Mus musculus: one gene and its partners. The protein of the gene in region 6 interacts with the protein of the main gene of each other region in a biochemical or structural test. Links are inferred from orthologs where the notes say so. Each region holds a gene or a part of one and is shown on either strand. Other genes may lie near its edges. The genes, in order: Bag3, Tcf25, Gnaz, Snx9, Echs1, Lrrk1 and Bag2.

The links.
Region 1: the proteins of Lrrk1 (region 6) and Bag3 form a complex in vitro, tested with the Homo sapiens proteins (2 studies listed by BioGRID and IntAct, with this or other methods). The link is inferred for Mus musculus from reciprocal best matches to the Homo sapiens genes LRRK1 and BAG3.
Region 2: the proteins of Lrrk1 (region 6) and Tcf25 form a complex in vitro, tested with the Homo sapiens proteins (2 studies listed by BioGRID and IntAct, with this or other methods). The link is inferred for Mus musculus from reciprocal best matches to the Homo sapiens genes LRRK1 and TCF25.
Region 3: the proteins of Lrrk1 (region 6) and Gnaz form a complex in vitro, tested with the Homo sapiens proteins (2 studies listed by BioGRID and IntAct, with this or other methods). The link is inferred for Mus musculus from reciprocal best matches to the Homo sapiens genes LRRK1 and GNAZ.
Region 4: the proteins of Lrrk1 (region 6) and Snx9 form a complex in vitro, tested with the Homo sapiens proteins (2 studies listed by BioGRID and IntAct, with this or other methods). The link is inferred for Mus musculus from reciprocal best matches to the Homo sapiens genes LRRK1 and SNX9.
Region 5: the proteins of Lrrk1 (region 6) and Echs1 form a complex in vitro, tested with the Homo sapiens proteins (2 studies listed by BioGRID and IntAct, with this or other methods). The link is inferred for Mus musculus from reciprocal best matches to the Homo sapiens genes LRRK1 and ECHS1.
Region 7: the proteins of Lrrk1 (region 6) and Bag2 form a complex in vitro, tested with the Homo sapiens proteins (2 studies listed by BioGRID and IntAct, with this or other methods). The link is inferred for Mus musculus from reciprocal best matches to the Homo sapiens genes LRRK1 and BAG2.

What each region holds. Positions count from the first base shown.
Region 1 is NC_000073.6:128,522,271-128,526,382, reverse strand, and holds the start of Bag3 (BAG family molecular chaperone regulator 3), read right to left. Parts: upstream 2,801-4,112; 5' UTR 2,525-2,800; coding exon 2,339-2,524; intron 1-2,338. UniProt on the Homo sapiens protein: Co-chaperone and adapter protein that connects different classes of molecular chaperones including heat shock proteins 70 (HSP70s), e.g. HSPA1A/HSP70 or HSPA8/HSC70, and small heat shock proteins (sHSPs), e.g. HSPB8.
Region 2 is NC_000074.6:123,394,211-123,397,710, reverse strand, and holds part of Tcf25 (transcription factor 25), read right to left. Parts: intron 2,161-3,500; coding exon 2,001-2,160; intron 705-2,000; coding exon 617-704; intron 1-616. UniProt on the Homo sapiens protein: Component of the ribosome quality control complex (RQC), a ribosome-associated complex that mediates ubiquitination and extraction of incompletely synthesized nascent chains for proteasomal degradation.
Region 3 is NC_000076.6:74,965,776-74,969,976, reverse strand, and holds the start of Gnaz (guanine nucleotide-binding protein G(z) subunit alpha), read right to left. Parts: upstream 2,801-4,201; 5' UTR 2,595-2,800; intron 2,555-2,594; exon of another isoform or gene 867-2,554; intron 1-866. UniProt on the Homo sapiens protein: Guanine nucleotide-binding proteins (G proteins) are involved as modulators or transducers in various transmembrane signaling systems.
Region 4 is NC_000083.6:5,839,893-5,844,123, reverse strand, and holds the start of Snx9 (sorting nexin-9), read right to left. Parts: upstream 2,801-4,231; 5' UTR 2,590-2,800; coding exon 2,578-2,589; intron 1-2,577. UniProt on the Homo sapiens protein: Involved in endocytosis and intracellular vesicle trafficking, both during interphase and at the end of mitosis. Required for efficient progress through mitosis and cytokinesis. Required for normal formation of the cleavage furrow at the end of mitosis.
Region 5 is NC_000073.6:140,109,922-140,113,421, forward strand, and holds part of Echs1 (enoyl-CoA hydratase, mitochondrial precursor), read right to left. Parts: intron 3,213-3,500; coding exon 3,015-3,212; intron 2,626-3,014; coding exon 2,498-2,625; intron 1,875-2,497; coding exon 1,775-1,874; intron 723-1,774; coding exon 618-722; intron 186-617; coding exon 66-185; intron 1-65. UniProt on the Homo sapiens protein: Converts unsaturated trans-2-enoyl-CoA species ((2E)-enoyl-CoA) to the corresponding (3S)-3hydroxyacyl-CoA species through addition of a water molecule to the double bond.
Region 6 is NC_000073.6:66,262,842-66,266,341, reverse strand, and holds part of Lrrk1 (leucine-rich repeat serine/threonine-protein kinase 1), read left to right. Parts: intron 1-800; coding exon 801-917; intron 918-3,445; coding exon 3,446-3,500.
Region 7 is NC_000067.6:33,754,951-33,759,229, reverse strand, and holds the start of Bag2 (BAG family molecular chaperone regulator 2), read left to right. Parts: upstream 1-1,479; 5' UTR 1,480-1,538; coding exon 1,539-1,651; intron 1,652-1,663; exon of another isoform or gene 1,664-1,825; intron 1,826-4,279. UniProt on the Homo sapiens protein: Co-chaperone for HSP70 and HSC70 chaperone proteins. Acts as a nucleotide-exchange factor (NEF) promoting the release of ADP from the HSP70 and HSC70 proteins thereby triggering client/substrate protein release.

The DNA of each region.
Region 1 (4,112 bases), about 62 Mb from region 6:
GGTGAGTTTTTGAAAATACCAAACAATTTATAAACTCTTTACTGCTTTTATTTTTTTCCAGAAAGTAATAAGTTAAGAGTATTTCTTCTTGTTTTGTTTTGTTTGTTTGAGGCAACATTTCTCTATTGACTAAGCTGGCCTTGAACTCAGAGATCCACCTGCCTCTGCCTCTGAGAGCTGGGATTAAAGCTGTGTACCACCAGGTCAGGCCCAAAGTAGAGTCCTATTTTTTTTTTTCTTTTTTCCTTTTTTAATTAGATATTTTCTTTATTTACATTTCAAATGTTATCCCCTTTCCTAGTTTCCCCTCTGAAAACTCCCATCCCCTCCCCCCTCCCCCTGCTCACCAACCCATCCACTCCTGCTTCCTGGCCCTGGCCTTCCCCTATACTGAGGCATAGAACCTTCACGGGACCAAGGGCCTCTCCTCCCATTGATGATAGAGTCCTATTTTAAAGTGCATTTACTTTACCAAACTTTTCATTTTGAAAGGACCAAATGTACATAAATTATTACTGAACATTATGCTAAATATGACTTCTGTTAACTATATTTTCAAAGATCCTACGTGGCCGGATGGTGGTGGCTCATGCCTCAGAAAGCAGAGGCAGGAGGATCTCTGTGAGTTCCAGGTCAGCCAACACTACACAGAGAAACCCTGTCTTGAAAAGCAAAGCAACCCAAGGAGCTGAAGGGGTTTGCAGCCCCATAGGAGGAACAACAATATGAACCAACCACTACCCCCAGAGCTCCCAGGGACTAAACCACCAACCAAAGAGTACACATGGAGGGACTCAAGGCTCCAGCCCAATATGTAGCAGAGGATGGCCTTGTGGGAAATCAATGAGAGGCCCTTGGTCTTATGAAGGCTCTGTGCTCCAGCGTAGGGGAATGCCAGGACAGGGAAGCGGGAGTGAGTGGGGTAATGAGCAGGGAGGGGGGGAATGAGATAGGGGGGTTTTCGGAGGGGAAATGAGGAAAGGAATAAAATTTGAAATGTAAATAAAAAAATATCTAATTTTAAAAAAAGAAAAACAAAACAAACAAGAAAAATCCTACCTAAATTTGTATTTTTAAGTTCTTCACTCAAAATTCAATCGAATTTTTATTTATTTTTATTTTATTTTATTGGTTTTTCGAGATCGGGTTTCTCTGTGTAGCCCTGGCTGTCCTGGAACTCTGTAGACCAGACTGGCCTTGAACTCAGAAATCTGCCTGCTTCTGCCTCTCAAGTGCTGGGATTAAAGAGGTGTGCCACAACTGCCCAGCTCAATCTTTTTTTTCTTTTTTTTTATAAAAAAAGACAAGGTCTTATTTTGCAACACAGGCTAGTTTCATTCCAACTTAATTACTTAATAACTTTTGAGATAGACTCCGATTATATAGCCCTGGCTAGACTTGAACTCAAGATCCTCTCGCCACAGCTTCCTGGGTGCTGGGATGACAGGCCTGAACCAGGCTGGGCTTCATTCCAAATTTGTATTTTCAATTTTTCTTGCTTTTTAGATTGAAGTACACAAACCTGAATATCTATGCAAATGAAGCATACACCTAGTGTTCACCAGACTCCTCAGCTGTTTCTGGTAACAAAACTCCAGTATTTGAAAAGGACAACAAGGAATCACGCCATTAAAAATACATTCTTTCACTCCAGTGTGAGTCTTAAGGCAGTGGCTAAGTATGGTGATACAATGTCTGATCTTTAGTTTTGGAACTGTCAGAAAGAGTATCTTAAAAAAAAATAGTGGTAGTATCAGAATTTTCTCTAACTGAAAGCAGTTTCGACCAGTAATAATAAGTTTAATGGGGGAAAATAACTTATTTACTCGAGCCTCCTGAGTCACTCTATGCCTAAGATCCAGTAAACTCAAGATAAGCCTCAACTAAGTTCTGAATTTGAAAGTGAAATCCCCACAGGAGACTCCACTCAGCAGCCTTTCAATCCTGGCCGTGCGCCATCAGCACCGGAGGGAGCCCAGGGTCTCAGCACGGGACGCGCGGGACAGAGAGGCGGCGGCCGGGCCTGGCCTGGGCCTCAGCCGCTCATCAGGCCGGTCGCCCTTCCCTGGGACGCGGCGCACCGCAGCTCAGGCCACCACTGCCCTTCGCCCTTCGCAAGAGGCTGTGGAAAACCACCCGATGTCACCACGCGGGTCGCACCCCGCTGGCTACCGTCCAAGGCCACCCTGCCTGCGGCTCTCTGCGGCCCGACGCCCGTTCGAGGCGGATATGGTTAAGGACTCTCCTTGCGCAGCAGGGCGCGGGGTGGGGTGACTCGCATAGCCCTGGCTCGACCAGGCCCCTTCGCCGTCGAGGTGGGACGGCAAGCTCCACTCACCTTAGGGCCCTCGGGGGGCACACGCGGGTCGTTCCACGTCGTGGTGCGGCTGTTGTGGTCCACGAAGAAGGGCCAGCCGGTCTGCGGGTCGATTTTGATCTCCCAGCCCGGGGGCAGGGGGTCTCGGTCGCTGGCTCCGTTGCCGGACGCCATCTGCATCATGGGCGATTGGGTGGCGGCGCTCATGCTGGGTTAGGGTCCGCCCGGGGCGCAGAGCTAGGGCGCGGGTCACGAGGTCGTGGAGTGCGGGCACCTCTGTGTAGCCGATGTGTCCGGGAAGCCGGCGCCGGGCACCTTTATGAATTAAAGGACTGGGTGACGTGGCCGAAGAGGGGTGGAAGTGTCTGGAAATAGCCTCCTAGCTGCCAAAGGGGAAGGAGGAGATAAAGAGAAGGCAGCAACTGGCCGGCTAGAAACTTCTGGTCCCATCCAGAGAACTTGGCGGCCGCCGTGGGTTGGATGCGGAGCTCCGCCCTGAGTCATAGGCTATAATCGCGGCGGGGCGGGACCTTGGGAGGGATCGGAGGCGGGGATTTGTCACCCGCCCCTCCTTCTCCTAGACTACCCAGGCTGTCCCTCCCTATCCCTGTCCTGTGTGTGTCCTGGGGCCTGTGCGCCTCGCGCCAGGTTGACACGCACCGGTGTCCTTGTGCTCTCTGGCTGGTTTCTGTCTCCGGACTCCCCACCACTCTTTCGTGCCGCGTGGGGGTGTCCCGGGGTTAGCAGTCCAAGGGCCGACACCTGGGGCCCCACCTTTGTGTAAGGACTAAATCATCTTTAAACTCGGAAAGTCTAGTTCTTTCTCTCTCTTCACACTCAGTGACGCTGGCGTCCTGCAGTGACGTTTTTAGTAACTTTTTCTCAAGGGCCTTATGACTTCTGAGAAATTCTGGAATGCTGATCTGAGGTCACAACAAAAAGAAAGAGCTGTGGAAACTCACCTGCCTGCTTTGGAAAACTGAAGAAGCAAGGACTAAAGTGACAACTTTGTGCTCTTGGCCTTCTATATAGGCACTTTCGCACAGTGACTAGACTTCAGAAACACCTGGAACCAATACTGAGGCCAATTTCCTGACTCAGATTCAGAGAATGTCCTGGGACCTTCAAAGATACATCTCTGGCCTCTTCCCCTCCGATTTTTACTCTGTGGCAAATACTAGAGGACTCTGCCAGACATTTCCAACAAGCTGATTTTTTTTACTTCCAAAGACCTTCTTACTGACTTTGAAGTCTCAAAGCCTCAGTATAAGTATTAACATAGTTAGCCTTCAGGTACTGCCTGGTGCCACCAAACACACCTGTATAAGCCCAAATGTGGGAATATTGACTTATTATCATTTGATAGTCACATTGAAAGGTCTAGACACTTAGATTCACTCACTGGTCAGTGTCTGTCTTTTGCTTCTTTATACCTGAACCCACCCAGCACGTGGCTAAATCCAGAGTCCATCTTCAATAAAGGAATAAAGATTGATGTTTATTGAAGACTGAATACAAAGTGAATTTTTTCGCTTGTTTTTCAATACAAGGTATCTTTGTGTAGTTTTGGCTGTCCTAGAACTAGCTAATTATGTAGACCAGGCTGACCTTGAACTCACAGAGATCCATCTCTCTGCCTCCCAAGTGCTGGGATCAAGGGCATGTGTCACCACTGCTTGGCTGTGGATATTTTTTTAAAGATATGGTCTATCTATATAGTTCTGCCTCCCAAGTATTGAGATTAAAGGTGCACACTACCATCTACTACGCCTAGCAATGCCCTATTTAAAAAATA
Region 2 (3,500 bases), on a different chromosome or scaffold from region 6:
CACAGCTTTTTCTGTGTGTTTTTTCTTGTTTCTGAGAAATGTGACAGTCTAGAAATCTTGGAAAAGTTCATGATACTAACGGTCACGAGCCCCGCCACCTTCCTTCTCTTCCCACGTTTATGCCTCCTGGCTTCACGGCCTGCCCACAACTCTTCTAAGGAAGCATCCTGTGGGTCTCATTCTTGAGACTGGCAGCTGCTCACCTGCCCATACAAGAGAAACACCCTGCACATGGGTGTGGCTCCAGGGCCATCCTCCACTACTCTAGTTGGGCAGGCAGCCCCCAGGACAGGATCCGCTCCTCTTTTAGGGAGCAGGACCTACAGTCTCACATCTGCAGGACTCTAGGGAGCAGGACCTACAGTCTCACATCTGCAGGGCTCTAGGGAACAGGACCTACAGTCTCACATCTGCAGGGCTCTAGGGAGCAGGACCTACAGTCTCACATCTGCAGGGCTCTAGGGAGCAGGACCTACAGTCTCACATCTGCAGGGCTCTAGGGAGCAGGACCTACAGTCTCACATCTGGAGGGCTCTAGGGAGCAGGACCTACAGTCTCACATCTGCAGGGCTCTAGGGAGCAGGACCCGCAGTCTCACATCTGCAGGGCTCTGTACCTGATCTCAGCATCCGGCCCAAAGAAGCGGTGGTTTGAGACCGTGGCATCAGGTCGCACACTGCAATACTCCAGCAGTGGCATAAGAACTGCAGGGGAAGCAAAGGTTCCATGGATTGTGCAGTCCTTGTCCCAGCCTCACAGCAAAAGACAAGAGACACTGGAAGGTAGCTGTCATATATACCACAGGGTGCTGTGAAGTTAAAGGACTCATTTCTGACTACCATCACAAAATTGGTACATAGGCTGGGTCTCTCACACTAGGCGCCAACATAGCTCTAAACTCTAGGGAAGTGGATGCATGTCATCTCATCTGTATCCAAGGAATACTTCTTGTCTATCACCTTCAAGCATAGATGGCTGCACGTTTTAATCATATGAAGGCTAGACTTGAAGGCAGACTAGAGAGTGGGGTTGACTGTAGCTAACTCTGCAGGGACCAGGATCCGACGGATGACCAACTGAGCCAACCTGGCTCTCTTTGCCTGTAGTGCTGTTCACTAAGTGCTAACATCTCCGAACTGCTCTCATGCTGGTAGTCTACCAGAACACGACCCAGCCGTCCCAGCGACTTCCTGGGGACATGTTCGTGCTGCAGCGGGCTGTGAGGAAGACGTGCTTACTCTGCAGCACAGAGCACGGGCTACCAATCGATGCCCAGTTAGCTGGTCCCCGACAGAAAAAGCCCTGCAAGCGACCTCAGGCCAGATGGCAGAGGCAGCTTCTAAGTGACAGAACTGGCCCTCACTGAGTCAGCAAATAGGATTTCTGCCTGGGGCTGCCAGGTCTGGTTGGTAGGCAAGAGTTCTGGCCAAGACTCGGGGAACTCAGAATCTACAATGTGGCATTAATTCTGGAACTTTCTAACAGAGGGAGCAGCTGGCCACAGAGTCTTATGTCAGTGCCACTCTGTGTGCACTCTTAGGAAAGACCTGGGCACGCTCTCTCTCCCCGATTCTCCTGGCCCCACATTTTAAGAACGCCTGGGAAGTGCACCAGGGTTTCTTCCTGGCTACTCATAGTCAAGGCCCTTTGAAGCGTCTTTGGGCTAGCCTTGGGCCTCTTTGGGCTAGCCTTGGGCCTCTCCAGATGCTACTTTTGCTTTCTTTCTCTAGTACCACAGGCTATCTTAACGCACCATGTTTGGAAAAAGCCCCACTTTCCCATCCTGAAACTAACTCCCAGAGAGGGCATTGCTCCCCCTCCCCCGACACCTCACCAAACTTGCAGTAGGCTCACTGGAGGTTGTAAATTACTGTCTAACAAGAGCTACAGCCAAGTCTTTAGGAGAATGCAATCTCTGCATCCAGCACGGAGAGGGCTGTGATCTAGACTCAATCCCCAGAAAGACAAGTTCCATACCCACAAGAGGTGGCAGCACTCACCTCCAGGGAACATGGTGAGTGCCTGCTGTATCAGGAGGGAAGCCTGTTGCCTGGCAGAGCTGAGCTCATGCTCAGGTAAGTCTGTTTGCTGACTCAGAAGGAAATAGGCCAGTGGAACTGAGAAGGCAAAATTTGGGAGCTGGGACAGGTTCCGATGAGCCTGTAAGAGAGGAAGAAATGACGTCTGAGCCTCAAGCTTGTGAGGACAAAGCACATGCTTTACAGATGTGCAGGGCTTTACAGATGTGTAGTGTATGCCAGGATGCCATAGCTGCTTCCTCTTGGGCCTCTGACCTTAAGATAAGAAAACCCATATTCTTTTTTTTTTTTCCTTTTTTTCAAGATAGGGTTTCTGTATAGCCCTGGCTGTCCTGGAACTCACTTTGTAGACCAGGCTGGCCTCAAACTCAGAAATCAGCCTGTCTCTACTTCCCAAGTGCTGGGATTAAAGGCGTGTGCCACTACCACCAGGCCTGAAAACCCCATTTTCTACATGCAGAACAGACAAAGGGACACAGAAGGGCAGGGATCAGCCCAGTCAGATGACTGATGCTACAGCAGCAGGTGGGCTCAGAGCTTCTAGGGTCAGGCACCTCAGCTCTGGAAGCACAAAGCTCACAAAGCTCACAAAGCCAATTCAGCAGAGAAGGATCTGACTCCACCTAACACAAGCCTTTCCCAGTGCCCTCCTTTCTTCCTGCGTTTTGAGAGAGAAGTGCGTGTATATGTCATCTCTAGTGTGCATGCATGCATGGTGCACACATGTGTACATGAGTGCAGAGGCTGAATGTCAATTCTGGTGTCTTTCTGCAATTATATTTCATTATTCTGACCTTTAAATTCTATTTATGTATTTGGTGTATGTATGCACCCATGCACAGCATGGCGCATGTGTGAGTATGTACAGCATGGCGCGTGTGTGTGTATGCACAGCGGGGCACGTGTGTGTGTATGCACAGCGGGGCACGTGTGTGTGTATGCACAGCATGGCGCGTGTGTGAGTATGTACAGCATGGCGCGTGTGTGTGTATGCACAGCGGGGCACGTGTGTGTGTATGCACAGCGGGGCACGTGTGTGTGTATGCACAGCATGGCGCGTGGGCAGAGGCCAGAGGATAAGCTGCAGAAGTCAGCCCCTTCCTTCCATATGTGGGTTCTAAGGTTCAAACCAGGGCATCGGGCTTAGTGCTTCTGCCCACCCAGCCCTCTCTGTGGCTCCCTCCCTTCATGTTCCGAGACAAGGCCTCTCAGCACACCTGCAGCTCATCCACTGCTAGCCATGCCCCTGCCCCGTGCCTGCAGTAACTCGGTGACATCCCACGGTACCGTGCCCTGCCTTTTATGTGGGCTCTGGATACCCACACTCACACCCTCACTCTCTACAGTGAGCACCTGAGTGACCGAGACACTGTCCTCGTCCTTCTGTCCCGGGAACCTTTATCATCAGAATCGTACAGCTACAGAAGCCATGACTGCTCCCCTGCAGCCCCACACGACGTC
Region 3 (4,201 bases), on a different chromosome or scaffold from region 6:
CACACACATGGACGCGCGCGTGCACACACATACACACACACACACACTCGTGCACACGCATGAGCACTCAGACTAGCTAGACTGAGGATACACTCCCCCAAGAAGACTCCTTCTCAGCAGTTTCTCTGCAGGGGCATCTTGGTAGCGGTGTCTGTATTTAGTCATCCAGATACTGCTGGATCCCCCCATAGGATCCGCAGGATCTCTTGAGGTATAGATGAGATACTTTTTTTTTTTTAATCCAAAGGTACCAAAAGGTCTAGGAGGTTGGGGACAAGAGAATTAAGAATCTATTCTCTAGGCTTCAAACCCTGAGTTCCATGGCAGGTCCCTGGACTGGGCCAGGCAAGAAGCACAGACCATGTATTTTATAAGGGCAGGTGGGCTGTGTTCTTGCTGGGGCACCCTGAGCCTCAGCCAATATCCTGTGTGTATGTGTGTGGAGGAGGGGTGTGTGTGTGTGTGTGTGTGTGTGTGTGCGTGCATGTGTGTGTGCACATGTCTATCTTTGATGGTGGGCACACTACCAGGATGAGTAAGAACCAGGCCTTCTGAGAGAAACCAAAACCATCTCTGGGAAGAAGGGAGTAGCTAGAGCTAGGGCAGAAGGTGACATCGGCCTTCTATGGGGGAAGAACTATGTCTATTCACAGCCTGTCTCATAAAAAGGAAAGCATCTGTTAGAGGAACACACAGGAAGAGTTTTACAGCAAATGCAAGCATCTCTTCATGTCTAGAGAAGGCAAATGGAAGAGGCGCTGTTTTATCCAAGCACGGGACAACCCTCTGTAGCCTCCTGGGTCCCCTCAATGGCCTTTCCTACCAGAGTCATTTTTTTTTCCAAAACTTCCCAACTCCAGACTCACCAGCTAAAAAAACTGTCTCCTTCAAAGCAGGTGACTTCATCTCGGCTGGGCAGGGGGCTGGGTGGGTTGGTTACCCAGGGCCCTTGGCTCTGCCAGGAACAAGGTGCCTTGCAAGGGCAGTCCCAGGTGGCCAGGAGCCCTCTCTGGTCTCTGAAGTTCTTTCTCTAACACAACTACGCTCCAGGGGTCACAGAACCTTCCCTTTTATAGACACGGAGGCTGTGGTCTCCACCGAGACAGCCCCACAAACATGGTCAGACAGCCATGGTGTGCCTCTGTCCATTTCCCTTCCTGTGCTTTTTCTGGCCTTTCACCCACCCCTCCCTCATCCATGTCCTGACTCCTCCCTCCCTCAATATCCCTCCCCTGCTCCTTCCCAACCCAGCCAGCTGCCCAAGTTCCTGGGCCTCTCCATTCATTCTCTTCCCTCTGCCCACATTGCCCATTCTGACCCTGCCCGTGTCCTTCAAGCTCCAGTTCAAACGTTACATTGCCCATAGGCAGGTCTGACCTGAGCCCGGGGTATCTCTCTCCCAGGCCCCTCCCAAGCCCCCCTGCACTGCACCGAAGGAAGGCCTGGTTATCAGAGCACAGCCCTATTTCCCCCTGAGGAAGGTGAATCAGTCCTGGGAGGGCTGGCCCAGTCCACTCCCACCCTTCCACCTTAGCACAAGCCCTAGGGGAGCCAGTACTCAGTAAATGTTTGCTTAATTGAATCTGGCCAAGCAGCTTCCTCTAGACAGGGGCCAGGTTAGCAGACCTAGATGATGATTCTCAGCGCTAAGAAACCACTTGGGCAGAAAAGAGTGTCAAGGCTCAGGGTCCTGCCCCAATCTCCTCCACAGACAAGGCGACATCGTTACCAGGCTGGTCCCTCCACCCTGAGACTCACACTCCAGGGAACCCTGGTCTCACTTGGCATTGCTTTCCCATCCTCCTCTCTGTAACAGGATCCCCAATTCTCGGCCTAGGCAGATTCCTGCCATCCTCCATCCAGATAGGCTCAGCACCTCCCTAAAGGCAGAGCCCCCATAGATTCACCGCAGGATCCGGAGCAGAGGCCCTCACACCCCTCCCCAAACACCCCACCGCCTTTTAAGGGAAAAAATATTGAGCCAGGAACACATTACAATCGCAGCAGGTCGATACTCATCTCTGGCTCCAAATGCCTCCAAGGAACCTGCTCCGTTGCAAGAGCGATGACCGAGAACAGCGAGCTGTTGTACCGGGCCTCAGGGCCCTCTCTTCCCGTTTTTATTTTTTTATTTTTTTACCCAAGGCCAAGCTCCTGACACCTGCGGCTGCCTGTACCCCTGGACCCCCGGAGAGAGACCCCCCGCCTGGCGTCGCTCCTGCAGATCGCCCGCCTGCACTCCGCACCCGCTCAGGGCGTGCAGTGGTCCCACATCATCCTCTGCACCCCCTGCCCAATTTCGTCAGGTGGCAGCCACCCCTTCCAAGGGTTACTGGGCCGCCGCTCCTCCCTCCCAAGGCACCTGTCTGGGCCATAGCCACCCCCTGCCCACCTAGCAGACAACCCCACCCCTAGCGGGCTCTCCCACCCGGAGGGGCATCCCTGCCTCTGCACCCCTAGCCCTATAGATCTCGGGTCCCCAGCACAAAGGCCCCAGGCCCCGACCCGGGTGGGGGTGGGGTGCGCCCCAGCCGCGCCCCCAGCCCCGGGTTCAGCTGTGCGCGCCGGGGCCGCTGGTGCGCTCACTCACTCACCTCCCGGGCGCGGCTTCGTGCGTCGGTCGAGCTGCACCCGGCGGGGCGGGGCCGCGAGCGTAGGGCTGTGGCGCCCTGGTTCTGCACGAAGCGGGTGCCGGCGGCCGCGCGAGGACGTGACCGGTCCGCGGGTGGCACACACGCTCCGCCGCCCTGGCTCCCTCCTCCGCCCTCCCGCGCCGCCTGCAAGCGGGTCCACCCGCCCCGCACCGCGCCGCCGCCGGCAGGGGGCGGAGTCGCGAGCGCAGTCCGTTGCCAGGCCAACCGCGGGCGGGGTCTGCCGCTTGTCTGCCCCGCACCACGCGCTGCCGCCCGACCACTAGCTCCGGCTCGTTTTCCATTGGGCGATAACTGCCGACGGACGTGCGAGTAGTCCAATAACGACAGACAGGGGAGGGGCGCGGCTGTGCGCGCGCCGCCTTACCGCACGCGCTGCTGGCTCCAGCTACTGTGGCACTGCACTGCGCCGAGCCTTCCCGAAGCTACTTCTAGCATCTTGGGAAACCCACCTTCAGAGCAGTGTAGCCCCGGTTCCTTGCACGCTGGCTTTCCTGCCCTACCTCAAATGGGGTTCGAACTCAGCCCTGGCAACCTATTCTCCCACAATGTCTTTTTGCAAGGTGCTGTCGTCCAGGCTTCCTTGGATAATGTCAATAATCCTTTAGGGCGCGAGAAAACCCTGATGGGTTAAGCTGGAGAGATTTCGCAGCATATGGTTCGCCCTCTCTTCTGCTCTCCTTTTTTAGCATGTAGGGGCACTTCTGGGAGTCGACCCCCGCAACAGAGAGAAGCCGAAGGGTCCCAGATCAATGAAGCCCCTGACCTCTTTGGAAACTCCCCAGGAGACATCAGATCTTTGACAAACGAACCTAGCTGTGAGATTCTACTCTCATCAGGAGGAGTCCGTCTGTGGGTCTTGGCTGGTAGTACCTTACTCCTGTACAAGAAAGACTCAGGCCAGGTGCCACCACAATAGTGCCTCTCTGCCTTCTCCATCCTTGTAACTTTAAGCATATGTGCCTTAGAGCCCAGGATGAGATGGGGAGCCATGACGATAATGTTGGTGCTTGCCAGCTAGACGCTCCAGAGGCAGGACAACATCACACCACTTTCCGTGGGATTGTCTCAATTGTGCAGTGGCTGACTGTTGTACTGCATACCCCAGGTAGACAGCCCACCTGTGAAAGGGCTGCCTAAACTTTTAGGGATGGGACCAGGTACTGGTTATGGGTACTACTGAAGCCAGTCAAGACACCTGTCTTGCTACAGTGACCAATAAGGACCGAAGGACTTTTGCTAATGGCTAAAGAGCATTTCTACCAACTCATCCGGCTGTGCAGCCAGTCTGTCACTGGAACCTGGCTGAGAGTCAGTCTCCTAATCTGTCAAAAACTGTACTATCGACTCTTCAGAGGGTTAATGTATGTAGGAAATACACCTTAGCAAGTGATTTAGGCTGGGCAGAGGCAGTTTCTGCAGCAGGTTCAGGGGGCAGAGTTCATCCTTCTGCTGAGGGTAAAACCAATGTAGGAATTACATTTGACAGTTGAATTTGCAATGGAACTTACAATATTCCTGGCGAGGGAGCAGAGGCTAGTCCCTAGACA
Region 4 (4,231 bases), on a different chromosome or scaffold from region 6:
TGTTAAGAAGCATCTAACACAGGTCAAGACTGAGACACTCTCAAGGCCTGTAGCCCTGTTTGCTAAATAAGACATGACTGGACTCTAAGCTGTGTGCGAACTTAAGCAGAGCTCAGCAGTCTACTGAGGAAAGATTAGAAACGAAACCCAGATGATCCCTTTAAAGCATATAGTTACTGACGAATTGTCTTTAGCAATGAAGATCTGCCCAATTAAAGCTCTACACAATTTTTTTTTCTATTATGACTCTACCAAAAGCTCTTAAAAGTCATGAGAATTCAGGGCTAGCGAGATGGCCCAGTGGTTACGGAGCACCACTGCTCTTGCAGAGGAACAGGATTTGGTTCCTAGAATCCACGTGACTACTTACGACGGTCAGTTGACTCCAGTTCCAGGGAATCCAGATCCCTCTTCTTGGAACAAAACACCCATACACATAAAATAAATATTTTTCAAAATAATCATGTGACTTCAGAGATAAGTGTATATTCAAGAAAATATTGTAAGAACGACTTAGACTAAAACTGTGTATGGGAGAATTAAAGCCATTTTCCCATAAGCACTAAGGCAATCCCAACCCTACCAGCTGTCCACGTGATGCATTCATTTCCCAACACTTAGCTCTTATAGCAAAAGCCTGGGCACTACTTGGGCTTAAACGTCATTGAGTCCATCATCAGTCCTTGCTAAGTACACCTGACCACCTACAGGGTTCAAGGAAGGGAAGAACTCCAACTCTTCAGCTGTGGGGAAGGGAAGAGGTGTGTCTTTCAGGGACCAACTCAAAAATGAGCTTTGCTTTGACACACAAACGGAGAAAAGCGCAGAGGAGTTCCCTTTAACGAGGCTTTCCCAACCAGCCCCTTTCTTCAGAGGGCAGTGGTTTGTCCTCTGGTCCACCTGGGGATGCGGCCTCTTGGAACTGTGATTACAAACTAGGGAAGGGCACCAACAGGCAGCCAGGAGAGCTGGAATTTGCCTTCAGAAGCAGATAACAAGTAGGAAGTGCTTACACAGGTAGTGAGGCAGTGTGCAGAGGGGTCACAGGCACCTCAATTTCAGCCCAAGGACAGCCGTGCTTTTTCACTGGAAACATAAGGCTTCGCCACCATCAAATAAAACTTTTTCCTCTGCTTGGATATATGCATTACTTGCTAAGCTGAAGTAGGCATGCATGCCTCAGATCAGTACAAATATTACAGAATAGGGTCTATGTCACAAATCATTGTCAATGTTGCAAGATAACTCTGTAATTGAATTTTCAATTTCTGAAATGTCTAGGCAACAAACCTCAAAAATCCTCTGCTTAAATTAGGTTTCATCTCCAACAAAGTTTGTCACAATATAAGTATATTGAAAGGTAGGTAGTTGTCTTATATCTAGGAAAACCAAGCAACAACTGCTCAGATATACTACTAACAAGGCAATTATTTCAACAGTAGCAGTAGGTTTCTGAAGAAGCTTCATTTACATATAAACACTACACCTAGACAGAGTCAGGACAGAGAAAATGAATTTTTCTGGGCCCCAACTTCAACAGACTAAATGAAATCAGGCACTTCTGACCTTCCAAATTCCTTAACACTTTCCTATACCTTCTATAAACACCCATCTTTAAAAAAAAAAAAAAGTTTTCATCAAGCCAGAAGTAGCTTAGACGTGTCAAAAATAAATCTGGAAAAGGCACGCTGTTTGTAAAGGTGACATAATCAAAGCTCCGAGTACCAGTCTGTCTGCTACCCGCACATCGCAGGTCTATCAGAGGTTCACCTATGGTGCCTCCCACCCCAGGTCCTCACTTCCAAGGCTTAGGCTTTTCCCGGTGGCTATTTCATTCCCAAGTGACTACTGAAACCGCACAAGAAAAAGGAACAGGAGAAACTAATTTTTGTTGTTGTTGTTTTGTTTTTGCAGACTCAGATAGCAAAAACGGACTGCTAATTTCACAAACAATAACAAAAAAATAAGCAAACCAAGATTCCTGGCCATTTACCAAGCAGGAACCAAAGTTCCACTAAGCAGTTGGGGCCTGGGCCTTTTATGTTTTCTTTCTTTCTTTTTCTTTTTTTTCTGCCGGCAAACACGTAATCTAAAAGCACAGTCATTTCCCTCTTGATACTTTATTCGCTCCGAAAACGTCCCATTCAAACAGAAAAAGCCAGCCAAAACCAAAAGGAAAAAATGAGAGCCTGGAAGGCAGTGGACGCGGAGGGAGCGTGACTCCCGGAGGCTGCAGCGTCCTCCCCGCCCGGCTCGAGCGCCGGGCTGCCGTACGGAGGAAGGAGGCAGGCGCCAGGCTCAGTGCGGAGCGGCAGCGTCCGAGTGGCCCGCGCGCTGCTCCGGGGCTACGGGAACTCCGCGTGCCGGGGCGCCCGTCTCCGCTCAGGTGCAAACTTTGCGGAGCCGCCGCCGCCCAGGGGGAGCGGACCCCAGCGCTCGGCGTGACCCCGCTCTGGTGCCCGAGGTCGCGGGGTGAGGGGTGGGGGGAGCTCGCGAGCGACGCGTCGGGGCGCTTCGGCCTCGCCACGGCGCCGCGGAGCCGAACGGCCGGTCCGGCCTGCGCCGCGCGCCCCTCACCTTGGTGGCCATGGCGGGCGGTTCCCCGGCCCCGGCGGGCCGGCTGGTCTCCCGTGCTGCGGAGCTTCGGCCCTAAGCGGGCGGGGAGGTCGACTCCGTCTGCGGTTCGGTGGCTGCGGCCCGGCGCGGCGGCTCCGCCTCAGTCCTGCTCTCGGCGCTCCGGCCCCCGCGGCTCGGCGACTCCCGCCGCCGCCCGCGCCTGCAGTTCCTGAAAGTCCCGGCTGCGCGGCCCCCGCCCCCGCCGGCCAAGCCTCCCATGGACCGCGGCGTGCGCGGCGGAAGCGCGCCTGGGGCCTCGGCCGCAGCCCGGCCTCCTCGCCCGCCCCGGCCTCCGCCCCGACCCCGCCGCCCGCGGCTCCGAGCGCAGGGCCCTGGCTGGAGCGGCGGCTGCGGGGTCGGACGGGCGTCGGGGTCGCGGCCTGGTCGCCGCCGCCGCCGAGCCGTTCGCTGGGCGCGGCGCCGAGGGGGGCTGTGCCTCAGGCCCGGCTCTCTGCGAGCCGGAGAACGGTGATCCCCGGGAACTGACGGGAGCCACCCGCCTGGGATCCCGGGCCCACGGCGGGGCTTGCTGAGGGATCGGGGTGCTTGGGGGTGACTACTGCGAGCGCCACACGGACAAGCCAGCCCAGGGCGAGCAATGGCTTCCTGCATCTAGGCTGCATGGGATTTCTCGGAGGCTGTGATCTGGCCTGGGCTTCTGGGCCTGGACGCTTGGGGACTCCACCTGAGATGACCCAATTCTGCCCTTTGGATTGTTTAAAAATGCCTCAAGAAGTTTGAGGGCGCAACAGGTTTCCTTAAGTTAAAAGAGAAGCCCGAATTATAACATCTTTGATTGAGAGTAGTTTGTCTGCAGTTGGATCTGTATGGGTTTTATTAATAAACGAATGGTTTGAATTGATCGATGAGACTTTCACAAAAGATGAGACTGGAAGATTTACCTTAATCAGTGCAATAGTTTAATGCAGTTGTTTATAATAAGGATGCATCTTCTAGACAAATAAAATCGACTCTCTTATCCCAGGAAGTTGATATTTAATTTTACTGTCAAATTTGTAGCTTCTAGGACTGGGGGTGGTAGAAAGAATGACACATAGGTGTTTGCACCCCAGCACTGGGGAAAAAAAAATGTTTTTTTTTACTGACCAGAGAATTTGCAAGTTACAGCCAAAAATAGTGTTTAAGTGGTAATTCAGAGTTTTCTGTGGATGTTTGTGTGTATCAATGCTATAGTCAGGCATGGAAATATTCTTGTGTCTGTGTGTGTGTTACTGCTAGCTAGTGTCATGTCTACTTGACAAAGGCTAGAGTCATGTTAGAAGTAGGGGACCTCATCTAGGGGAAAACAAAAACAAAAAACACCAGATTGACTTTCAGTCATGCCTGTGGTGTATTTTCTTGATTATTAAAGGTGTGTGAAGGCCCAGCTATGTCGCCCAGCCCACATCTGTGCTGGTGGCCCTTGTTGCTGTAAGAAAGCAGGCTAATCAAGCCCTGGGGGACAAACCAGTAAGCAGCTGCCCTCCATGGCCTCTGCATCAGTTCCTGCCTTCAGGTTCCTGACCTGAGTTTCTGCCCTGATTTCTTTCCATGATGGAGTCTGACACAGGAGCGTAAGCAAAATAAACTCTTTCCTCACCAAGTTGCTTATCAT
Region 5 (3,500 bases), about 74 Mb from region 6:
GGGTAGTTTGGAACCTCACAACTTCACCTCTGCAGTCCTGTGGCCTCTTCCCCGCAGACTCCTACCTGCATTCACAGATTCTTTCGCCATGGCTACTACGATTTTAGAATTGCTGGCAATTTTTTCTGCACATTGGATGGCTTCTTCAACCAGTTTTTCAACAGGAAAAATCTTGCTTACAAGACCTAAAACATGAAAAGTCTGAGTATTATGCAGAAATATCCCTGTCCACTTCCTCTAGAACCCAGTGACATCGAGAGGCCAGTTCCCTGGGTCCTTAACAAGGGATGGCTGTCCCCAGCAGTGGGTGACTCTGGGCTCTCCACTGACGGGCTCCAGTCACATGCTGTCTACAGGATCAAATGGAACAGAGGACTTGAGGACTGTGGTCACTGGCAAGGGCAGGAAAAAAGGCTGGCCTTTAAGAGCTTTTAAAGGCAGTGGAAAGAGATGTTGTTATTATTTCTAACCTGAACATATGTTGCCACTCTCTGGTATATGATGTATTTCAAGATATAAAAGCTAAGGACAGAACCTTAGGGCTCCAACACCAGCTACCCACGGGGACACCTGAAGCAGCCTATGCCTTCCCCAGCTCCCAGCATCAGATACCTCACCTGCCTGCTTTGCATCCTGAGCTGAGATGCGGTCACCAGTGAGGACCATCTCCATTGCTAGCGATTTGCCGACTGCTCGGGTGAGTCTCTGAGTGCCTCCAGCACCTACAGGGAGAGAGCTGAGGTCTCACCTGGCCCTTTGTCAGGTGACACTGAGAAGAAACCCAGGGCTGGGATGTAGCTCAGTGACAGAAGAGGCTTTAGCGCGAGGCCAAGGGATCCTTCTCGGCATTAAAAAGGAAGAAAGAAAAATCAAATTGGCTCCTTTCCCACCATGATGGAAGAAGGTTCCAGGTCTACCTTCTCCAGGTCGGCCTTGCCTTCTCCAGGTCGGCCTGCACCAATACACTGCTCTCTCTGCTCAGAATCTCAGAACAAGCCTGGTCAAGCCTGGTCAAGCCTGGAGAGTAGCAGAGACCTCCTCTGAATGTGGTCTCTTCTCTGAGGGCTCAAGTCCTTTCTCTGAATGTTCATCTCCTCCTGCCAGGTCTAAGTGGCTCCTGGAGGGCAATGCTATTGCTTCCTCCATATCTTAGGGCTTTCCCAGGCAGTGGGGAGTGAGGATCCCCCAATCCGCTGTGCTGAACTCAGGGAAGCTTCCTGACCTGTTACGCCACTGGCATAGGAATGGACAGAGCCAGACTCACATGGGACAGAGTTTTCGGTGTAAACCCAAGTCTACTCATCTTTGTCCCAAGCTCGTGACATACAAAGCTCTTAAAGGTGTGTGGATCATGGGCAGGAAAGAACCATTGTGGCTCAAGCCAGTAAACTCTGTGTTTATGATACTGTTGGATTTAGGATCTGTATATTCATGAGAGATGGGCATGTCCTGAGGCTTCCAGACTGCGCTAAGTGTCATATGCTGTCTTTCAGGTGCCGGTTGGCGGAGAGAAAACTGAACGGACAAGAAAGGCTAAGACTCAGGCTTCTCCTGCTACAGCTCACCTATTCTTTCTTTTTTAAAGATTTATTTATTTATATGTAAGTACACTGTCACTGTCTTCAGACACCCCAGAAGAGGGCATCAGATCTCATTACAGATGGTTGTGAGCCACCATGTGGTTGCTCGGATTTGAACTCAGGACCTTCAGAAGAGCAGTCAGTGCTCTTAACCACTGAGCCATCTCTCCAGCCCCCAGCTCACATATTCTTACCTGGGATGGTCCCCAGGAGGATTTCTGGCTGTCCGAACTGGGCTTTCTCGCCAGCATAGATGATATCACACATCATGGCAAGTTCACAACCCCCACCAAGCTGAAAAATAAGAATGTTCAGAAGCAGCTGGATTTGACCAGAGGAGCCCAGGCAGAAAACCACTCTGTTTGCTTATAGAACTTTTCTGGAACCATGAAACAGAGTCAGATAAGAGCAAATGTTAACTTAGCTGAACAAAACTAGATTTAAGTGGTAGGATAAACATAAGGGTAATGTTGCTCCCCTTAGCTGGGTGCATAGACTTTTATGCAAAGGGCCAGGCAGTAAATATTTGTGGCTTTGTGGTGAATAACTCAGTCTGGCATAGTGGCTCCAAATCAGCCACAGAGGGTAAAAGCATGAATTTGAGTGGCTGACCAACCCTACCAGGATGGCTTTTATTCAATAATCAGCATGTATAATAATCACATGGCTTTTCCATGGGCTAAGCTAGTGCTGCATTTCTCAATAGCCTAGTGAAACAGGAACCCTTGTGGGCGTCCAGACAGAGTACTCACAGCCTTCACACAAGTAGCTTAGCCACTGCAGCAATTAAAAAGAAACAGAAAAGTTCACTAAGGCATCTGGGAACTCGCCAACGGGCCTCCATCAAACAAAGCAGATAGCAAAAGACACTATTGGCTTTTAAAGGCACAGGAGGCCCCTGGGGAGCTGTCACTTACAGCATAACCATTGACAGCTGCGATGACCGGTTTCTTGACCCGGGTGATGTGGTCCCAGTGGCTCAGGAACTTGCTGGAGTAACAGTCCTGAAATGTTCGGTTCTGCATTTCCTTGATGTCAGCTCCAGCTACGGGTAGAAGTGCGGGTTCAATGACCAGACATTAAAGAACTTCTCAGTCCTCAAGGCTTGGGGGCACTTCCCTCCACAGTGGGGACAGCTGAGACATGGACCAACAACTCACCAAGCCATCTGTTTTAAGAAGGTAATGTTGAGGACTGTGTCAGGCAGTGGGTGGCAGGTACACTTAGAGGAGGACCGGCTTAGACCAGTGTTTACCTGACTAGTAAGGAACTGAGCATACCTGAATGTTCAACACATGCCCTGCTCTTCCACACAGCTTACTTTACAGGTTAGTATATCTTAAGGCACCCCTCTCATCACAGAGAAACTGGTCCATTTTGCTGCTTCCCACAGGCCCTAGCATTCCCCTCCCATCCACAACCATGGCTGCACACCTGCAAAGGCCTTATCCCCACCAGTGAGCACAATGGCACCCACAGCAGGATCTTGCTCAAAGGTCTCCAGTGCTTGGTTGAGCTCCTCAATCAGGCCATTGCAAAGTGCATTGAGTGCTTTGGGGCGGTTCAACTGGATCAGCCCCACGCTGCTATTCTTTCCTTTCTTTTCTGTGATGATGTACTGAAAGTTAGCACCTAGGTCAAGAGGACAAAGGGAAGTGTCATCATAAAGATATTAAAGTCACCGTGGTTGGTTAATCTTGGTCATCAACCTGACCACATCGCCAATCAACTAACACCCAAGCCTTACCTGTGGAAGACTTTCTTTCTTTCTTTCTTTCTTTTTTTTTTTTTTTGGGGGGGGGTTTTCGAGACAGGGTTTCTCTGTATAGCCCTGGTTGTCATGGAACTCACTTTGTAGACCAGGCTGGCCTCAAACTCAGAAATCCGCCTGCCTCTGCCTCCTGAGTGCTGGGATTAAAG
Region 6 (3,500 bases):
CACCGGGGGAATCACTGCTGGCTCCTGCTGGCCACCAGCTGGAAGCTAGGATTCAGGGTAGTAAGAATAGGTAGAGATGCTCAGCGGGAGAAACTGGGTGTGTTGATGGCATGCTGGATTTCCTCATAATAGTGTGAGGGCCATGGAGCATAGCTCATCTCCGAGGACCTTCTGCCTCTGTATGCAGAAGTCATGGAAAGATCCAAGTGGCTGTCCTATGAGAAATCCAAACACCGCTCTAAATCAAATGCTCCAGGTTTATGAGTAGGGGAAGGAACATCATAATGCTTCGACATGACTGTTTAGAAGTATATAGATCTCCCAAAACCCATAGATACCCATGGCACTAAAGCCTCATCGATCTGTTTTAGGAGAATACACAGAGAGATCTCTAAGAGTACCTATTCCGATACAATTCTTTATAGCAACAATAAATTCACCAAATATGTTTAAAGGTGATGAACAGAGGAGGTGACCCCATATACATCCTTGAGGGGGTAAATACAGGACTCTGCCCATGGCACACTGTCACTGTATCGTGACTCCACTTTGCTAGTGGTATACTCATGCATAGCCGAAGGGAGCTTCTGAGACGCTCCATCCCCCACTCCTCAGGACCCTCTATGAGCTAACTTTCTTCCAGACTGTAGTTTTCAAACAAAAAGCAGAAATGAATTAGCAAGCAAAATGCTGCCTTTAGAAAGGTACCAAAGGGGTTCCCCAGGCTGAAAGCATCCTCATAGGACATACCGGTCACTTCCTTCTCTAGCTCTTACAGTGAGCTTGTCTGCTTTTTGCAGGACCAGAAAATCTATATCTACAGCCTTAAGGGTATGTGCCCATTAAGCGTGCCCCAGCAGGCCCTGGACACCCCAGCTGTCGTCACCTGTTTCTTGGCAGTACCTGTTATCAAAAAGGTAAGGTGGGGAGAGGACATATTCAGGTCTGTCACCAAGTGTGGGAGGATCTCCTTGCTGAGAACAGTGGAGTCACACCTTTCTGGGCCACCTTGCCCAGGTCATAGCCAGCTTTAGAGACACAGGCAACCACCGTTAACCTGTGCCTACCGTCCATGAGCAAATGCCAGTGCCCCTGGCTTAGATGAGGCTCACGCTGGTGCGGATGATGAAGCAAACACGTGGCTCCTTCTCTTGATAAAGGCATCAGGAGCCTCTCCTCTGCCCTGGCCACTGATTTTTCTGATTAGTGGGCGTAGCTGATTCCCTTTCATCTGCCTCTGCCTTCTCTCAAAGACTTGCTTTCCTTCCCAGGCCTCAGTCCTTCATTGCCCAGCATTGCCCAGCATTGCCCAGCATTGCCCAGCATTGCCCAGCATTGCCCAGCACTGCCCAGCATTGCCCAGCATTGCCCAGCACTGCCCAGCACTGCCCAGCATTGCAGAGCAGACCCACTTCCTCGCCCTCCTAACCCCATTCACTCAGTGTGCTCCCCAGCCCCAGCTCCACCGCACCTTGGCATGGAATCTAGCCTCACTAGGGCTGGCAAGGCCACCTCTTGACTGGCCCTGGGCCTTCTCCTCCAAACAGTAGACACGGGAGCTTCACCTTCTCTTCTGGTGAACTGTCAGGAACTCCTCTGAGAAGTTGGGTGGCACTGCTTGCTCTCCCAAGCTCTGCTTCCTTCCCTGGATCCAATCAGGTCACAAGGGGCCTGTGGGTAAAACGCGTGCCTTCCACCAGTGCATAAGCATCACTTCCTAGCACAGCTTTTTATAATGTGCGGCCTGCCCTTATGTGGTCCCCATTTGTCCGCCTAACATGAGGATGATTGAGTAATGAAATAGGTCTCTGGACCTATGGAGCCCAGAGTTCCAGGCTGGGTACTTGGAGCTAAAGGTTGCTATGACTTTGTATGTCGCCAAACCTGTGAGCTTTTCTCTGCACCCTGATCTAGCTTCATTTCTTTATAAAAGGGACAGAAAATGGGTATGAAATGAACCTTACAGTCATTTATGACTGTAGCCCCAGGAGCACCCTAGGCAGCTGGGATCTCTACACCAGAGGCTGGGAGAAACGGACACAAAGCATTATTGAAGGGCCCTGACAGCCAGAGCCCCAGCCAGGGCTCACGTCTTGCCGGAGCAGGGGAAATAAAGCGGACTCTGTGTGAGCCTCCTGCGCAGGGTGCCTGCCCCCGTGGAGGTTGACCTGCGGAGGCCACACAGGGCAGACCGTGCGTGCATTCTTGCACAAGCACGCTCACAACCCACCGAACGTGGTGTTCCCCACGCCGGCCAGCAGGGCCAGGATCCAGAAAGACTTATGGCCTGTTTGCTCTGGCTGCTTTATTGACCTAGATCCTGAAGATGGATTTTGAGAAATTTTCCTAGGGCTCCTTACTGTGGATGTTGTGTGAGAGGCCACTCACTCTACTACCCTGAACAGCTGCCCACCCCGCTCCACACAGGCACCCTGACTGCTAACAAAGTGGCTTTCTGCCATTCCCCCTGGCTAGATAGAACAAGGCTGGGGTCCTGTCATGAACTCTGACTTGGTTCTGTGGCCCTTTTCCTGACCCACTCACTCTGTATCTGCTCTGCTCTGCTCTGCTCTGCTCTGCTCTGCTCTGCTCTGCTCTGCTCTGCTCTGCTCTGCTCTGCTCTGCTCTGCTCTGTGAGACACCCCTGGAAGCCTGTATTTGGCTTTGTACCTGCAGCTTTGGCTTCTGCCTAGTAACCTCTGGCGGTGGCTACAGAGGAAACGGTGCTTCGTGGTAAGTCAAACTCCTCAGTAGTGTCAGCCCAGGCTCTTCAGAGTGTGGATGTGGGCACATGGGACCAAGACATGCCAGCAGGAGAGTTAAGCTAGAAGCTCGTTCTTCCAGGGTCATAGATTGTCCACTTGATGGAAACAGTGGGATCCCGGGCCACAGAGGTGTCTCAGACTTAACCCTTTCCTGTGCCAGTGCAGTGCCCAGGTGACAGTGGTGGGCACAGAGACCTGCCCCCTGCTTTTCTGGAGTTCTCCACCGTGTGAGCAATAAACAGAACTCATGCCTATAACAGCTGTCATGTTAATAAGCTATCTACAACAGGGAGAGCATTCTGCCCTGCCTTTCATGAGGCCTTCATGGCATCCAGGAAAGGCAGCTCCCCGCTGCTCCTCCAGCAAGGGACCAATGCCAGGTGGTGGCACCCTTGCTTGATGCCCTCAGCACTATGGGCACTGTTCTCCCTGGCTTACCTCTTGCCTTGCAGCACCAGTGGTGGGTGTGGCTTTGCTGGGGCAAGGCTACATCATCTCTGGACAGAGTCCTGAGACCCCTGAGCAGGCCAAGATTTCAAAGGCTTTACTTCTCTGAGGCACTATGGAAGATCATGTGACCACTTGAGGCACATAGAGAGATGAGTCTGGTGTCTGTGGTTTCTCTCTTCGCATGTGTGACATGAAAGAATATTGTGTGTCCCTGTCCCTTCCCCCCACAGAACTCCTTCCTGGTGCTGGCAGGCCTGGCTGACGGACTCGTGGCTGTGTTTCCTG
Region 7 (4,279 bases), on a different chromosome or scaffold from region 6:
CCTGCACCAGGCAGGAAGAGTTCCAGAGCCATTACCAAAGCAAAGCTCTCCACAAGCTCAGGTAGCACTGAGGGATTTTTTTTTTTTTTCTTTCAGGAATCCTGTACATATTCATGAAGGAACATGCCTATTCCAAAGCATGCTCAGTTTAAAGTCATAATTTATATAAGGAAAAGAGCATAGGCGTGTCATTAGACAGGAGCATATCCGTAGTAACTTAGACTGGAGATGCCTCTGTGCGTGTTCAACGTGTGGAGACATTTAAACAAACATATGAAGATCCCTGCCATTTTAGTTACTTTCCTACTGCTGTGATAAAACACCTCCACCAAGACAACTTGTAAAAGAAAGCATTTAATTGGACTTAGATACAGAGGGTCTGAGTCTATGATGGCTGCAGAGACATGTCCTGAGCACTCAGATCTCAAACCCAAGCAGAGGCAGAGAGACACTGGGAATAGCTTGGTCTTCTGAAACCTGCCCACGGGGAGTGATACACTTCCTTCAGCAAGGCCACACCCAGGCCTCCCCAGTGTTCAAGTGCTAGAGAGCACAGATGGCATCTCATTCAAACCACCACATCTGCCTGGCCTCGTTGCCAACCTAACAGAGCTATGTCTGCGGCCACTTTTATTTTTCCTTTGACACTTGCTGAAGCTACCCAGCCTAGCCTTGAATCCACCCTGGCCCACGTTACACAACTTGTCAGCCTCCAGAGGAGCATTAGACCTGAGACCTGCCCAAGTTCAGACTTTCAAGATGTCCACAAAATGTTCAGATTTCACGGTTGTATCGTGAGATGACAGTGTTTAATGAAGCCAAGATAATCCACCGTTTATTAGTATTAAGATGTGTTCGGGGTGTGGTGGGGACAGGATTAGAAACTGTACTTAAGGGGCTTGTCTCTGTTCAGTAATCTAATGGCTTTGAGTTCTGGGTAAAGGATGTAAATGTACTTTGTTTCCCATTTTCTGTACCCTGTACACTGAGAGGACAAAACACAACTTTAAGATGCGGCTTCGTATTTCAGACCTACTGACCTCTGCAGCTTCTGACATCTAAGCCTACTGAATATCATTCGCAGAGGGTTTAAACAAGTTATGTGTGATAGTAATAATCCTTTCATTGGAAAGGGGAGACAACACGGATCCACTTGGCTTCTCCTTATTTGGAGCCTGTGGTCTAGGCTTTCCCTGTCCTCTCCCGAGCCTGCCTGGTCACCGGACAGGTCGAACAAGTAGAGACTGCCCTAGGGTGCACTGGATTGTCTCCTCTTCTCACGGGCTGCACCCACTTCGTCCTTGCTGTGAACCGTGGGTGCTGGGAGGACCGGCCGAGGCCCTGGGCGCCGGGGCAGGGTCCCCCACCCTGGCGTGCCCGCGGCTGCGACCGCGCCTGCCCTTGTTTGGCCGCACGGCCTCGGGGGTGGAGAGCCGGGGAGGTGGGGGCGGTGCCGTCCGCGTCAGCGGCGCCCGTGGTGACGGCGACGTGCGGCTCGCGCCACTGCTGCCCGCGGACGCCGAGGACCCCCGGAGCTCATGGCCCAGGCGAAGATCAGCGCCAAGGCCCACGAGGGCCGCTTCTGCCGCTCGTCTTCCATGGCCGACCGCTCCAGCCGCCTGCTGGAGAGTCTGGACCAGCTGGAGCTCAGGTGAGGGCCGCGGGGCGCGCACAGGGGCGAGCGCGGGCGGGGGCGCGCTCCGGTTGGGCTCCCCTCCCCCGGCCCGGCAGACTGGCGAGCGAGTGCGGCTTGCAGAACTTCCAGAATCTTCTGCGCGGTCCCCCTCTGCCTTTAACTTTTCTGCTTCCAGGAGGGAGGCAGCAGGTTGGTGTGCCCCCCCCCCCCTCACCCCACACTGGAGTAAGTTTCTTTGCCCCAGATCACTTCATAGTAATACAAGTGTAAGGGAGGGGGGGGTGGTAGTATCCAGGACGGCCCCTCCTGGGGATCATCGAGAATCGGACTCATGAGAGACCGCGCGAGGTACACCGAAGTTGGATACCATCCTTCATTCTCTCAACCACGTGCAATGCCCTCTGCAGTCTGTCCGTGTTTGTTGTACATTTAGAAGACACGGCTGACACCTTGGAAGTGCCAATCGCAGGCCCGAAAACACCAAAGGCAGGAGTCACACTCTCCCTAAGATTCTGACACGGGGACAGCCTTGTCGTAAAATTTCTAACTCATGAATACTACTAACGAATGCTGTGAACACTTGGTTGGCTTTAACCACGTGAGCCTTATGTATCTGGTGGAAATGTTAATGTCTTCAAAGTTGTGCAAGTTTTGATCATGTGCAGGTGTTCCATGAAAATCTTATCAAGATGCCCTGACACACACGTTGTTCCCTAGTTTTCTCCGGGTTCTGCGTAAGCAGAACACTATGACCCAAAATTATAAGAGGGAGATGAATCTCCCTCCACGCAGCCACCAAACACAGGGAAGTGTGTCTGCACAGGAAAAAAAAAATGCAAGCAGTGTTCGTTACACGGGAGGCGCTCATTACTGTTACTATTAGGAGAAAAGAGCCAGAAGGTGAGAAAACTTTCACTGACTGTGGAGTAGCCACAAAAGAAACCTGAACCCTATATCCCCCAACTCCGGGAGACAAAGGGACCTGCGCTGTGAAAGGGGGCGAGAATGTTTCCTTGTGCGAGGTAGGCTCTAACCTTTGACAGTATATTCCCAACTGCTCCGATTTTTTTTCTTGAAAGGGTTCAGGAAGTTGTGACTCTTCAAGCTGAGTCATTGTTCTGAACCTTTACTTAATCAAGCCTGTGTGCCGAGTCCTTGCTCTTCTCCTGGGGGCCTCTTGAAAGTCTGGAGTTTGCATAGACATTCTAGTGTCTGATTACTATCAAAGGAATCCTGACTACCAAACATAAGCGATTAAATTACGTTACTTATTAACAGTTGCGCTGAAGGGGTTTTATTTCTGTGTTTAATGGTTCAAGGCCTTTACCAGTAACTGCAGAGTTCTGTAAGTCTTGTTTCTCCCTTAAAAATGTAATGAGCACTTAGAAGTAAGTGTGTCAGAAGGGGCAAAGAAATAGAAAGAGATGCTGCCTGGTAAGGCTTAGGGGCCCTTTTTAGAAGCCATCTGGACAGTGCCACAGAGCATGACAGTATTCAAAATTAGACTTTTTAAAAATGGGGACGATGCTCCTGTGACTTCCCCCTAGCTTTCTTAGTGTACACGTCTGAGGACAACAGTGGACGGGGTACTACCGGAAATCACTGGATTGTCGCCAGTGCGCATCTTCCATTCAGGTGAATGGGTTCTGTGAACAGCAAAAGCCTGCTCCCTTGTAAGACTGAAACCACACCCAAGGCTTTCTGTCCTGCAGGATGCACTGATCTTCCGGGCATTGAAAATGCTTTTAAATGTTTAGCCCAGTTTTACAAGCTGGTAAAGGGTGCCATTGGTTTTTAATGGCTTATAATATTACAATTAAAAACATTTTTACATTAAAATATCCTTACATTAAAAAAAATTTTTTTTTTACTACATCTCCTTTCCTGTGGTGCTTTCTCTAAAAAGATAATCCTGTCCTTTCCTGATTTTCATGACCAGTTCTATGGGGACTCTGCACATGCTGAGGCTAAATACTGTACTTTTCAGTGGTTGTAAATAATCCACGTTAGCATTAGTCTGTAGGCTAGGCCGCGTGTCTCTGTGGGAGTTACCGTTATCTGTATTGTACAGATGAGAACTTGAAGCTCAGATATATACAGTGTGTCTCAGTCCAGAGCAGTGGACTTCGCCTAGGAACACGGGGAGACCGGCTGCTCAGACCAACACCATTTGTCCTGGTCTTGAATATCACTTTTCAAACTGTCCAGCTGATATATGAATGAATATGATTTTACTAAAGGAGGGGAAAATCGATTTAGCATTTGATTCAGTAAACCTTGAAGACCTAGAACGTGCCAGTTATCGAGTAGCTGCTCCGGGCCTGGGGTTTGGACATTGGCCAAGGAGGGATAAATGATTGACAGGGCTGGAAGGCTGGCTCTTTACACATCTCCCAAAACCGATCCCGCCCGCAGTGAGCAGCTCCTTTCCAGTTCACTCAGCCAGGAAAGGGTGACTGCCAGCGGGAGCCAGGGAAACGGGCCACCCGCCTGCTTTGGTTTCTTACTGTTTAAGGTTCCTGTTCGGATGCGCCAGTGTTCCAGGACCCACGAAGCAAGTTGACACCATACTTAATTTGGAGTAACAGTCTGTAATTTAGAAGGAACACTTTTCGTGTACACTGTAATTTCAACCACTGTAAT